Anolis sagrei: one gene and its partner. The protein of the gene in region 1 interacts with the protein of each later gene in a pairwise test. Links are inferred from orthologs where the notes say so. Each region holds a gene or a part of one and is shown in the gene's direction. Other genes may lie near its edges.

Region 1 (7,760 bases):
ACTCCTGGGATTCCATAGCATTTGATGCCATTTTAATCACTGTAGCTCAACACCATGGAGTTCTGGGAGTTGTAGTTTGGCAAAGGCCCCAGCACTCTTTGGCAAAGAAAACCGGAGTCCTTGCAAAACTACAACTCCCAAGATTCCATAGCATTTGAGCCATTGGCTGCGAAAGTTTGGGAAGCACTGGTTCTGAGATGCATAGCAATTCTTAGGAATCTTTGCACTCTGCACATGCTCTTCCAAACTTTTACAGCTTGGAAAAGTTACTTTTTCTTTGGACTAGAATCCACCCAGATTCTTGGAATTCGATGCAAAATATAATGACGGATAAGGTATTTTGGTAGGTCCAGTTTTGGGGAGGAAAAGTTACTTTTCCCAACTTTATGACACACTGGATCAACACAGCTTCAGAATGCACTGAACTGGATTATATGGCAAGTGTAGACTCACATAATCCAGATCGGTGCAGCTCATTTGCATTCTGAAGCAAAAGGGTGTAGACGCAGACTCATTCTTCTCCTAATGCAGTTTTGGCATATATTGAAAAGGGTCATACGGCAAATGTAGACTCATATAATCCAGTTCGATGCTGGTAATCCCAGGGACAGGTCCGGACAGGTCAATACGAATTTCAGCAAAGAGGAAGACCCAGAATTGGGGGAAAATACGGCCTCCGTCCCATCCCTGTTAGGCAGGCACCGACTTGCCTGAAACAAAGCAGAGAAAGCCTGGAGGTTAGTCATTTTGCTGGTATTTGTTGCCACTAAAGTTGCCTGGGCCAACTTGGGCCCTCCAGGTGTTTTGGACTACAACTCCCACAATTCCTAACCGCCTACCGGCGGTTAGGAATTGTGGGAGGTGTAGTCCAAAACATCTGGAGGTCCCAAGTTGGCCCAGGCTTGTGATATAATCATTCATTCAAAGACTCTAAAAGGCAATGGAGTCCGACCGGATAGGAAGGCACAATCCAATCCCTCCCAACAGATGGCCATCCAGCTGTAGATTCAAAAACTCCAGCTTATCCCACTCTCAGGAAGTCCTTCTAAAAGTGTGATATAACCATGCATTCATAGAGTTGGAAGATATTCTAAAAGGCCATCCAGTCCAACCAGGTAGGATGGCACAATCCAATCCCTCCCAACAGATGGCCATCCAGCTGTAACTTCAAAACCTCCAGCTTATCCCACTCTCAGGAAGTCCTTCCAAAAGTGTGATATAACTATGCATTCATAGAGTTGGAAGAGACTCTTAAAGACCACGCAGTCCAATCAGATAGGAAGGCACAATCCAATCCCTCCCAGCAGATGGCCATCCAGCTGTAGCTTCAAAACCCTCCATTCTATTCCACTCGGGAAGTCCTTCCAAAAGTGTGATAGAATCATGCATTCATAGAGCTGGAAGAGACTCTTAAAGTCACAATCCAATCCTTCCCAACAGATGGCCATCCATTCAAGACTTCTAGCCTATCCCACTCTCAGGAAGTCTTTCCAAAAAATGGGATGGAATCATGCATTCACAGAGTTGGAAGAGACTCTTAAAGGCCATCCAGTCCAACCAGATAGGAGGGCACAATCCAATCTCTCCCAACAGATGGCCATCCAGCTGTAGCTTCAAAACCCTCCATTCTATTCCACTCGGGAAGTCCTTCCAAAAGTGTGATAGAATCATGCATTCATAGAGCTGGAAGAGACTCTTAAAGTCACAATCCAATCCCTCCCAACAGATGGCCATCTAGCTGTAGATTCAAAACATCCAGGCTATTCCATTCCCAGGAAGTCCTTCCAAAGTGTGAGAGAATCATGCATTTATAGAGCTGTAAGAGACTCCTAAAGGCCATGCAGTCCAACCAGATAGGAAGGCATAATCCAATCCCTCCCAACAGATGGCCATCCAGCTGTAGCTCTAAAACATCCAGCTTATCCCATTCTCAGGAAATCTTTCCAAAAGTGTGACATAATCATGCATTCATAGGGTTGGAAGAGGCTCTTAAAGGCACAATCCAATCCCTCCCAACAGATGGCCATCCAGCTGTAACTTCAAAACCCTCCATTCTATTCCACTCTCAGGAAGTCCTTTCAAAAGTGTGATATAACCATGCATTCAGAGTTGGAAGAGACTCTTAAAAGCCATCCGGTCCAACCAGATAGGTCACAATCCAATCCCTCCCAACAGATGGCCATCTAGCAGTAGATTCAAAACATCCAGCCTATCCCATTCCCAGGAAGTCCTTCCAAAAGTGTGATAGAATCATGCCTTCATAGAGTTGGAAGAGACTCTTAAAGGCCATCCAGTCCAACCAGATAGGAGGGCACAATCCAATCTCTCCCAACAGATGGTCATCCAGCTGTACCTCCAAAACCTCCAGCTTATCCCACTCTCAGGAAGTCCTTCCAAAAGTGTGATAGAATCATGCATTCATAGAGTTGGAAGAGACTCTCAAAGGCACAATGCAATCCCTCCCAACAGATGGCCATCCAGCTGTAGCTTCAAAACATCTCCAGCCTATCCCACTCTCAGGAAGCCCTTCCAAAAGTGTGACATAACCATGCATTCATAGAGTTGGAAGAGACTCTTAAAGGCACAACATAATCCCTCCCATCAGATGGCCATCCAGCTGTAACTTCAAAACTCTCCAGCTTATCTCACTCCCAGGAAATCCTTCCAAAAGTGTGACATAATCATGCATTCATACAATTGGAGGAGACTCTAAAAGGCACAATCCAATCCCTCCCAACAGATGGCCATCCAGCTATATCTCCAAAACCCTCCATTCTACTCCACTCTCTGGAAGTCTTTCCAAAAGTGTGATATAACCATGCATTCATAGAGTTGGAAGAGACTCTAAAAGGTCATCTCGTCCAACCAGATAGAAGGGCACAATCCGATCCCTCCCAACAGATGGCCATCCAACTGTAGGTTCAAAACCCTCCATTCTATTCCACTCTCAGGAAGTCCTTCCAAAAGTGTGATATAACTACATTCATAGAGTTGGAAGAGGCTCTTAAAGGCTATTCAGTCCAACTATAAGATCACAATCCAATCCCTCCCAACAGATGGCCATCCAGTTGTACCTCCAAAAGCTACAGCCTATCCCACTCTCAGGAAATCCTTCCAAAAGTGTGACATAACCATGCATTCATACAGTTGGAGAAGACTTTTAAAGGCACAATCTAATCTCTCCCAACAGATGGCCATCCAGCTGTAGGTCCAAAACTCTCCAGTTTATCCCACTCCCAGGAAATCCTTCCAAAAGTGTGACATAACCATGTATTCACTGAGTTGGAAGAGATTCTAAAAGGCCATCCAGTCCAACCAGATAGGAGGTCACAATCCAATCCCTCCCATCAGATGGCCATCCAGCTGTAACTTCAAAACTCTCCAGCTTATCTCACTCCCAGGAAATCCTTCCAAAAGTGTGACATAATCATGCATTCATACAATTGGAGGAGACTCTAAAAGGCACAATCCAATCCCTCCCAACAGATGGCCATCCAGCTATATCTCCAAAACCCTCCATTCTACTCCACTCTCTGGAAGTCTTTCCAAAAGTGTGATATAACCATTCATTCATAAAGTTGGAAGAGACTCTAAAAGGTCATCTAGTCCAACCAGATAGGGGGACACAATCCAATCCCTCCCAACAGATGGCCATCCAGATGGCCATGAATTCATGGTTATATCACATCCAGTTGTACCTCCAAAAGCTATAGCTTATCCCTCTCTCAGGAAGGCCTTCCAAAGTGTGATAGAATCATGCATTCATAGAGTTGGAAGAGACTCTTAAAGGCACAATGCAATCCCTCCCAACAGATGGCCATCCAGCTGTAGCTTCAAAACTCTCCAGCCTATCCCATTCCCAGGAAGTCCTTCCAAAAGTGTGACATAACCATGCATTCATAGAGTTGGAAGAGACTCTTAAAGGCACAACACAATCCCTCCCAACAGATGGCCATCCAGCTGTAGCTCCAAAACCCTCCATTCTATTCCACTCTCAGGAAGTCTTTCCAAAAGTGTGATAGAATCATGCATTCATAGAGTTGGAAGAGACTCTAAAAGGTCATCTAGTCCAACCAGATAGGAGGGCACAATCCAATCCCTCCCAACAGATGGCCATCCAGCTGTAGATTCAAAAACTCCAGTTTATCCCACTCTCAGGAAGTCCTTCCAAAAGTGTGATAGAATCATGCATTCATAGAGTTGGAAGACTCTTAAAGGCCATCCAGTCCAACCAGATAGGTGGTCACAATCCAATCCCTCCCAACAGATGGCCATCCAGCTGTAGATTAAAAAACTCCAGCTTATCCCACTCTCAGGAAGTCCTTCCAAAAGGGTGAATCATGCATTCATAGAGTTGGAAGAGACTCTAAAAGGTCATCTAGTCCAACCAGATAGAAGGGCACAATCCAATCCCTCCCAACAGATGGCCATCCAACTGTAGATTCAAAATTCTCCACTCTATCCCATTCTCAGGAAGTCTTTGAGAAAGTGTGACACAATCATGCATTCATACAATTGGAGGAGACTCTTAAAGGCACAATCCAATCTCTCCCAACAGATGGCCATCCAGCTGTAGGTCCCAAACTCTCCATTCTATTCCACTCTCAGGAAGTCCTTCCAAAGTTCTGCCTCCCAGTTCATTCATTCCCTTCCCATTCATTCCCAATATCTCTCTTTTTCCTCCTCCTTCCTTCTATTTCTCCTCCCCAAATCTCCCCCCTCCCCTTGACCCTCCTCCCACCGGAAGTGGCAGGAATTCCCAGGCTCCACGTGACGCTTTGGAATGCGGTGACGTCATCCCCGGGGTCTGTGCCTCTCTCTCTCCATTGCCTTTTGCAAAAAAATAAAAATACAGGAAAGTTGGAAAGGAAGCAGGAGCAGGAGCGGAGGACCCAGGTGAGAGCAGGTAGGAAGGCTCTACTCTTGGAAAAGTTACTTTTTGCAACCAACAGCATGGCTAGGAGCGAAGGGTGTAATGGGGGGAAACTTCTCCCCCCCCAAAAAGAGTGGAAAAGTTACTTTTTTCCTCATTGCTAGGTTCTAGGAGACTTCGACCCTCAAAAAGTAACTTTTCTTAAGTTCTAATAAGACATCTCTTTGATCTGTTAGGAAACCTCTTTCTTCCTTCATTCCTCCAATAGAAAAGTAACTTTTGCAAGGTCTGATAAGAAATCCCACCTCTCTCCTACTTTTTTGGTGGTGTTGGGGTCTCCAAAAAGTAACTTTTCCAAGGCTGGTTGATTCTGAATGATTGTGGGAAGTTTCAGGCAAGAAAGTAACTTTAATCTCCTTCTTTCCCCCCCCCCCCCTCCTTTTTGGTGGTTTTGGGATACGAAAAAAAGTAACTTTTCCAAGGCCTGTTGATTCTGAATGATTGTGGGAAGTGTCAGGCAAGAAAGTAACTTTAATCTCCTTCTTCCCCACCCTTTTTGGTGGTTTTGGGATCCCAAAAAAGTAACTTTTCCAAGGCCTGTTGATTCTGAATGATTGTGGGAAATGTCAGGCAAGAAAGTAACTTTAATCTCCTTCTTTCCCCCCTCCTCCTCCTTTTTGGTGGTTTTGGGATCCCAAAAAAGTAACTTTTCCAAGTCCTGTTGATTCTGAATGATTGTGGGAAGTGTCAGGCAAGAAAGTAACTTCTTCCAGCCATTAGTGACCACATTCTGGTTTCTTCCCATTTCCTCCAAGCCATGCTTGAGTGAGGAGAGTAACTTGGAAAAAACTTGGAAAAAAGTAACTTTTCTAAAGTTCTAATAACCCTTGGATTGATAGGAAACCTCTCTCTTCCTTCATTCTTCCTACAGAAAAGTAACTTTTGCAAGGTCTGATAAGGAAACTTCTTTTTTTCCCCTTCCTCTTACGTTTTGGTGGTTTTGGGGTCCCAAAAAAGTAACTTTTCCAAGGTTTATTTATTCCAAGGTTTGTTTTTCCAGCATTTGTGACCACATTCTGGTTCCTTCCCATTTTCCCCAAGCCATGCTTGATTGAGGAGAGTAAAACTTGGAAAAAGTAACTTTTCCAAACTCTGACCATTCCCATTAATTTTTTCCATGCTGATTAAGGAGAATGCTGTCTTGGGGGACTATGGTCTAAAAACAAGTAACTTTCCCAAGCATCTCCTTTGCTGGCTGAAGATGTCTAGGGGCTGGAGACCAAAAAAGTAACTTTCCCAAGCTCTGACCATTCCCATTAATTTTTTTCCGTGCTGGTTAAGGAGAATTCTGTCTTGGGGGACTATGATGTTAAAAAAGTAACTTTTATGAGCATCCCTTTTGCTGGCTGAAGAGATCCTGGGGGCTGGAGACCCAAAAAGTAACTTTTCCAAAGATTCCTTTTGGGTTTTTTCCCCATGCTGATTAAGGAGAATGCTGACTTGGGGACTGTGGTTTTTAAAAAGTAACTTTTCCAAGCATCCCTTTTGCTGATTGGAGACCAAAAAAGTAACTTTTCCCAGCTCTGAATATTTGAAAGTATATTTTTATTGCTTTTTATTTCTTTGTGGATTGAATGGCGATGCAGAGAATATATGTCAATTAAATCATTTTAATTTAAAATATTGCATTATTTTAAATTAAAACGAATTAATTGACATATTTAGGTATTTATTATTATTATTATATACACATTGTTTATTTGAAATCCGAAATTAGATTAAACATATTTTTATTGCTTCTTAATTTTTTGTGGATTGAATGGCGATGCAGAAAATATATGTCAATTAAATCATTTTAATTTAAAATAAATTATTATTATTATGTACATTATATATATATAATATATATATTTAATACATAAATATGTCAATTAAATCATTTTAATTTAAAATAATGCATTATTTTAAATTAAAATGAATTAATTGGCATATTTAGGTATTATTATTTATTATTATTATTATTATTATTACACATTTTTATTTGAAATCCAAAATTAGATTAAACATAATTTTGGAAAAAAGGGTTCCCAAAATCCACAACGATCCACCTGGGTGGCTGGCTGGGAAAGGATTGTACGTACGCAGACGTTGTTACCTGTGCAAAATGATTTTTGCAAATATATGATAACATTACCTTCAGGCTACGTCTCGAAGGCGCATGGATGCAACATCAGTGCAATTTCATGTCTCGACTTGGGCCTGGGTTTGTTTATTATGTCTATGCAAATATTCCAAAACACATTTGCTCCCTGAGCATTTTGGATAGGCTCAGCTGATCCTGGGAAAGAATCAGAAGTCTTGGGGTGCATCACTCTATACCAGACCTGGGCAAACTTTGGCCCTCCAGGTGTTTTGGATTGCAACTCCCATCATTCCTAACAGCCTCAGGCCCCTTCCTTTTCCCCCTCAGCCGCTTAAGCGGCTGAGGGGGAAAAGGAAGGGGCCTGAGGCTGTTAGGAATGATGGGAGTTGCAATCCAAAACACCTGGAGGGCCAAAGTTTGCCCATGCCTCCTCTGCACTATAAAATTAATGCAGTTTGGTACCACTTTAACCGCTATGGGTAAATTACTATGGAACCCAGGGAGCTGTAGTTTTGCAAGGCCTTTGCAAAGGACAGAAAAAGAAGGGGATAAATCTCCATTTCCTTTCTATGTTTCTCCTAAAATGGATATATATCCACACACACACACAAACACAAGAGATGAGATATATAATTTGCTAGCTTTGCGGCTTTCAGGGTGTGTCAAAGAGCTTCTGCTTCTTTGTTTAGCGGAACTGAAACCAGACTTTTTCTGAGTCAGCCCTCCTCCAGATGGGTTGGACTA
Region 2 (7,132 bases), on another chromosome or scaffold:
TCACTCCACTGGCTGCCAATTAGTTTCTGGGAAAGTACAAGGTTTTGATCTTTAAAGCCCTACATGGTTTGAGTCCAGGTTACATAAAGGATCACCTTCTCCCATACAATGCACCCCACACACTTTGGTCTTCTGTGGGGCGTCTGCTCCAACCAGCTAGAACTCAACTGGCAACTACCACCCAGAGGATCTTTTCGTCAGCCGCCCATGACTGGAACAACCCACCGGAAGAACTAACAGCTAAATGAGCTGTCAGAATTTAAAAACCATGTAAAGACCTATTTTTTCTGGCAAGCCTACTCAATCTAAACATGAATGTTAAGTGTCCTTTGTTTGATCTCTGTTTTGTGTGTTTTAGTATGTAATTGTAGATACGTTTTGGTGTGTAATTTTTATGAAGGTTCATTTTAGTGTTTTTGCTGTGTATTTTAATTGTTTTGTAACCTGCCTTGAGCCATAAGGAGAGGCGGGTAAGAAGTATTATTATTATTATTATTATTATTATTTAATGCAGCTAAACGTAGACTTGTATAACATGGTCAGTGGAGTTCAAACTGCAGAATATGGCAGTCTTTGATAGTTGTCCATTGCAGTTCTGAGACAAGATTTTATTTATCATGTCAGAAGGAATTGAGAATACAGTTATAATGTATGAAAAACCACAAAGTTAAAACTTGGCATTATACTTAATTTCTTTTGACCAGAAGCTGGCCACTTTGAGTGCCTTCTGGTGTTGCTGTGAAAAGACCCTCCACTGTGCATGTGGCAGGGCTCAGACTGCATTGTAGTGAGTGGTCTGTGCTTTGCTCTTCTCCACATTTACATGTCATGGACTCCACTTTGTGGCTCCATTTCTTAAGATTGGCTCTGCATCTCGTGGTGCCAGAGCTCAGTCTGCTCAACACCTTCCAAGTCGCCCAGTTTTCTGTGCCTAGGGGGGAGTTTCTCATCTGGTATCAGCTGATTGAGATTCTGGATTTTAACCTGCCACTTTTGGACTCTCACTTGCTGAGATGTGCCTGCAAGTATCTCTATAGATCTTAGGAAGCTATTTCTTGGTTTAAGACTTGGTTATGTTGGCAGATATCTGAACAGAGGCTGGGCCGAAGATGTCGATGCCTTGGTCATTTCAATACCAGCTGCTACTTCTCAACAGATGTCAGGTGGTACAATATAGTATAATTTTCTAGCGATGTTGGGCATAGACATCCTATGATAATGTGGCATGTCTAATTAAGAGCCACATCCACTGTTTTAATGTGGTGGGATATACAAGGGTTGGAACCTTAATAGTGGCAACACTGCTGTAAAGACGCCATGCAACAAAACCAAAGAATGTCGCGTAAACCACGTTAGTTACATACCTACCTTAACTCTGAGCAAAAAGACTCGCCCTTCCTACATCATGCGCATACGGAGTGACACGAAGAACTGAGCCTCGAATTAGTTTACGGTCTAATAAGTGTCGTCACGATGTTTTCTAAACAAGAACAACAGAGATGGATAAAGATTGAATGTGCCAGAGGTCGTACAGCACGACAGTGTCATCAAGGTTTTCAAGAGGCTTGCAGGGAATCTGCATTGCCTTATAGAACAGTGGCAAGGTGGGTAAAAGCCTTCAACGAATGATGCCAAAATGTGGCAGACATGCATTGGTCAGGTCATCCTAGTGTCAGCAAAGCAGAAGTGAATGCTGTTGCTGCACTTGTAGACAGTGATCGACACCATACAATTCATGAGCTGGCCCAAAACACAGGATTTGCGCATATGACCGTACAACCTCTGGCACATTCAATCTTTATCCAACTCTGTTGTTCTTATTTCAAAAACATCTTGTCAACAGTTACTTTAGACTGCAAGCTAATACAAATCTCAGTTTTTCACATCACTCCACATGCCCGTAATGTAGAAATGGTGAGTATTTTTGCTCAGCGGTAAGGTAGGTATGTAACTAATGTGTGGTATACGCAACATTCTTTGGTTTCGTTGCATGGCGTCTTTACAGTAGTGTTGCCACTATTAAAGTTCCAACCCTCGTATTGCACACTGGGCTGGACATGTCAATGCTCTGGTCCTTTCGTTACAGTCTGCTATTTTCTGGCGGATGTCAAGGAGCCACCACCACACTCCGGGGCAGAGAGTTCCACTGCTGAACAGCTGTCACGGTGAAGAAGTTCTTCCTAATATTCAGATGGAATCTCCTTTCTTGTACAGGGTGAGGCAGCATAACTTCCTTTTTTAAAATGCGTACCATTCAGTCGGTTGAAGATGTGGTCTTGTTCGAGAGGCGGGAGTATAAATTTTTGTCCTGACACAGTTCAGTCGGCATCATGCGTTGGGACAGTGAGGAGCGTGCTTTTGCCATTGAGGCCTACTTTTCGAGCGGATTTGGAGTGGCCGGCCCGCTCTCCAGATTTGGCCCCTTGTGATTTTTTTCTATGGGTTTTTTGAAATCCCGTGTTTATGTGAACCGTCCAAGGACCCTACAAGATTTGAAGACCAACATCCAGGAAGAAACTGCCAACATAACGCCTGCTATGCTGGCAAGAGTCATGACAAAAGCCAAAAATCGGTTTACTCAGTGTATGGAGAATGGGGGACGTCACCTACCTAATTTGATCTTCAAAACTATGTAAAACAAAACTTTAGGTAGGCGCTTACATTACAAAAAAATAAAATAAAAATTCTGATTCATTCAATGGGTTTTATTAAGTTTTGAAAAAAGGAAGTTATGCTGCGTCACCCTCAAGTTTGAAGCCATTGCTCTGCGTCCTAGTCTTCATGACAGCAGAAAACAAGCTTGCTCCCTCCTCCCTATGACTTCCTCTCACATATTTATACATGGCCCTCACCATGTCTCCTAGAATCAAAGAGTTGGAAGAGACCTCATGGGCCATCCAGTCCAACGTCCTGCCAAGAAGCAGGAATATTGCATTCAAATCACCCATGACAGATGGCCATCCAGACTCTGTTTAAAAGCTTCCAAAGGAGCCTCCACCACACTTTGGGGCAGAGAGTTCCACTGCTGAACGGCTCTCACAGTCAGGAAGTTCTTCCTCATGTTTCTTGTAGTTTGAAATCATTGTTCCACGTCCTAGTCTCCAGGGAAGCAGAAAACAAGCTTGCTCCCTCCTCCCTGTGGCTTCCTCTCACATATTTATACATGGCTATCATATCTCCTCTCATCCTTCTCTTCTTCAGGCTAAACATGCCCAGCTCCTTAAGCCGCTCCTCATAGAGCTTGTTCTCCAGACCCTTGATCATTTTAGTCGCCCTCCTCTGGACACATTCCAGCTTGTCAACTTCTCCCTTCAATAGTGGTGCCCAGAATTGGACACAGTATTCCAGGTGTGGTCTATGCAAAGCAGAATAGAGGGGTAGCATTACTTCCCTAGATCTAGACACTAGGCTCCTACTGATGCAGGCCAAAATCCCATTGGCTTTTTTGCTGCCACATCACATTGTTGGCTCATGTTTAACTTGTTTTCCTCGAGGACTCCAAGATCTTTTTCAGACGTACTGCTCTTGGGCCAGGCATTGTCCCCCATTTTGTATCTTTGCATTTCGTTTTTTCTGTCTAAGTGGAGTATCTTGCCTCTCAACCTTCTCTTCAGGCTAAACATGCTCAGCTCCATAAGCCGCTCCTCATAGGGCTTGTTCTCCAGACCCTTGATCATTTTAGTCGCCCTCATCTCTCTTCAATTGTGGACTCCAAAATTGGACACAATATTCCAGGTGTGGTCTAACCAAGGCAGAATAGAGGGAGAGCATGACTTCCCTAGATCTAGACACTATGCTCCTATTGATCCATTGGCTTTTTTTGCCACCGCATCCCATTGTGGGCTCATGTTTAACTGGTTGTTCATGAGGACTCCCAAGATCTTTTTCACAGCGTTCAGAAGAGTCCCCTCAAAGCGCTGAGGTGCAGCTTGCAGTCCCTGATCAATCCCTATGGTTGGAAGAGCGGCTCCAAAGCAGTGGCGGGAAAAAGGAGGCCCGTGAAGATTAACCCCCGCCCCCTCCCGCTGGCACACCACCCGGAAGTCAGACTCCCTCCTCAGCCTCCGACTCTATGGTCGTGAGCCACGCGCGTTGCCCCATTCGTCCTTCCCGCGTCACGTGGGGAGGGCCTGGCGGGCAACGGAAGTGGCGCCAAGGGGCGATTAAAATGGCGGCGGCGTGAAGTTGCATGTTGTGGTGGGGGCCCCCGCTGAGTCCGTTGGCAGGAACCGCCCGTCTTCGCCGCCGCTGCCGCCGCCTCTTGGGCCTTCGCTCCCGCCGCCATGGCGGTGACCGTCACCCTCAAGACCCTCCAGCAGCAGACCTTCAAGATCCGGATGGAGCCCGAAGAGACGGTGAGCTCCCTCCCTGCCTGGCGCCCTTCCCGAATTAGCCCTCCCGCTTCCACGGAACTCACATTGGGTGATTTTATTCTCCATGGTGCAGTGGGTTAATCCCTTGTCCCAGCAGGACTGAAGACCGACAGGTCGCAGGTTCGAATCCGGGGAGAGCGTGGATGAGCTCCTTCCGTCAGCTTCAGCTCCCCATTGCGGGGACATGAGAGAAGCCTCCCACAAGGATGATAAAACATCAAAACATCCGGGCGTCCCCTGGGCAGCGTCCTTGCAGACGGCCAATTCTCCCACACCAGAAGCGACTTGCAGTTTCTCAAGTCGCTCCTGACAGGACAAAAAAATATTCTCCACTAGCCGTCCCTTGCCACACGTTGCTGTGGCCCACATAGGGGAGGTTTGGCCCAATTCTATCATTGGTGGGGTTCAGAATGCTCTGCGATTGTAGGTGAACTATAAATCCCAGCAACTACAACTCCCAAATGTCAAGATGGGGGTCACCCAAGATTATCAGGAAACATAATATTTTCTGTTGGTCATGGGTATTCTCTATGGGAAGTTTGGCCCAATTTTATCATTGGTGGGGTTCAGAATTGTAGGTGAACTATATATCCCAGCAACTATAACTACTAAATGTCAAGGTCTATTTCCCCCAAACTCCACCAGTGTTCACATTTGGGCATATTGAGTATTCATGTAGTTTGGTCCAGACCCATCATTGTTTGAGTCCACAGTGATCTCTGGATGTAGGTGAACTACAACCCCAAAACCAAAGGACACTGCCCACCAAACCCTTCCAGTATTTTCTGTTGGTCATGGGAAAACTGTGTGTCAAGTTTGATTCAGTTCCATCGTTGGTGAGGTTCAGAATGCTCTTTGATTGTAGGTGAACTATAAATCTCCGTAACTACAATTCCCAAATGACAAAATCAATTTTTTTGAGTGAAGGACATACATTGGGTTGTTAGGCATATTCTGTCCAAATTTGGTGTCAATTCGTCCAGTGGTTTTTGAGTTCTGTTAATCCCACAAACGAACATTACATTTTTATTGATATAGATAGGAGCCCCCGGTGGCGTAATGGGTTAAACCCTTGTGCCAGCAGGAGACTGACAGGTCGCAGGTTCAAATCTGGGGAGCGCGTGGATGAGCTCACTCCGTCAGCTCCAGCTCCCCATTGCGGGGACATGAGAGAAACCTCCCACAAGGATGATAAAAACATCAAAACATCCGGGCGTCCCCTGGGCAGCGTTCTTGCAGACGGCCAATTCTCTCACACCAGAAGAGACTTGCAGTTTCTCAAGTCGCTCCTGACAAGACAAAAAAATATATATTCTCCATAGTATTTATTTATTTATTTACCGTATTTGTATACCGCCTTTCTCAGCCTATCAGTGACTCAAGGCGGTTTCCAACAAAACAGTATACATAGTATCATAATACAATTTAAAACATTAAAATTACATAAATCACACAACAAGGCTGATCTGGCCGGGGTGGTCCATGCCTTGGTCACCTCTAGATTGGACTACTGTAATGCGCTGTATGTGGGGCTGCCCTTGAAAACGGCTCGGAAATTCCAACTGGTCCAATGGGCGGCGGCCAGGTTGTTAACTGGTGCTCCTTACAGAGAGAGGTCAACCCTCCTGTTTAAGGAGCTCCGTCTGATGTCCTTGGGGAGAAAGTTCCCCAAGGAGCTTGTCTGATTTCAGGAGCTTGTCTGATGTCCTTGGGGAGAAAGTTCCAGAGTCGGGGGGCCATTCATTTTCCGGTCCCAATTCAAGGTGCAGGTGCTCACCTACAAAGCCCTAAACAGTTTGGGACCTGCCTACCTGCGTGACCGCATCTCCGTATATGAACCCACACGATCCCTCCGTTCATCTGGAGAGGCCTGTTCGCGATCCCACCTGCGTCGCAAGTGCGTTTGGTGGGGACGAGGGACAGGGCCTTCTCTGTGGTGGCCCCCCGACTCTGGAACTTTCTCCCCAAGGACATCAGACAAGCCCCAATGTTGGCAGTCTTTCGGAAGAGCTTGAAGACCTGGCTGTTCCAGTGTGCCTTTCCAGAATAGGAATCTCCCAGTATCATGTCCCAAACGCACTTTACTAGAGATTTAAGATTGCCTGCACATCGCACCTACCCTAAAATCCTTACATTTCACCTGTCATGTCCAGCACTTTTAATTTTAGTCATTACATTTGGCCCGGCCCTAGTTTTAAATGTGTTATGATGTATTGTTTTTAATGTTTTATTGCTATTGCTTTTAATGTTTATTGGTTTGCTTTATGAATTTTATTGTTGTACATGTTATGCTGTTGTTTTATTGAGAGCCTTGGCCTTTGTAAGCCGAACCGAGTCCTTCGGGAGATGTTAGCGGGGTACAAATAAAGTTAATATCCTCCTCTGGACTCATTCCAGCTTGTCAACATCTCTCTTCAATTGTGGTGCCCAGAATTGGACACAATATTCCAGGTGTGGTCTAACCAAGGTAGAATAGAGGGATAGCATTACTTCCTTAGATCTAGACACTATGCTCCTATTGATGCAGGCCAAAATCCCATTGGCTTTTTTTGCCGCCACATCACATTGTTTGCTCATGTTTAACTTGCTGTCCACAAGGACTTCAAGATCTTTTTCACACATACTGCTCTCGAGCCAGGCATCCCCCATTCTGTATCTTTGAACTTTTTTTCTGCCTAAGTGGAGTATCTTGCATTTGTCACTGTTGAACTTCATTTTGTTAGTTTTGGCCCATCTCTCTAATCTGTCGAGATAATTTT

The links.
Region 2: the proteins of TRIP6 (region 1) and RAD23A interact in binary tests that used the Homo sapiens proteins (3 or more experiments, as listed by UniProt). The two-hybrid records come from large-scale screens. The link is inferred for Anolis sagrei from reciprocal best matches to the Homo sapiens genes TRIP6 and RAD23A.

What each region holds. Positions count from the first base shown.
Region 1 is NC_090026.1:4,965,846-4,973,605, forward strand, and holds the start of TRIP6 (thyroid receptor-interacting protein 6), read left to right. Parts: upstream 1-4,754; 5' UTR 4,755-4,906; intron 4,907-7,760. UniProt on the Homo sapiens protein: Relays signals from the cell surface to the nucleus to weaken adherens junction and promote actin cytoskeleton reorganization and cell invasiveness. Involved in lysophosphatidic acid-induced cell adhesion and migration.
Region 2 is NC_090022.1:162,470,618-162,477,749, forward strand, and holds the start of RAD23A (UV excision repair protein RAD23 homolog A), read left to right. Parts: upstream 1-4,119; 5' UTR 4,120-4,283; coding exon 4,284-4,355; intron 4,356-7,132. UniProt on the Homo sapiens protein: Multiubiquitin chain receptor involved in modulation of proteasomal degradation. Binds to 'Lys-48'-linked polyubiquitin chains in a length-dependent manner and with a lower affinity to 'Lys-63'-linked polyubiquitin chains.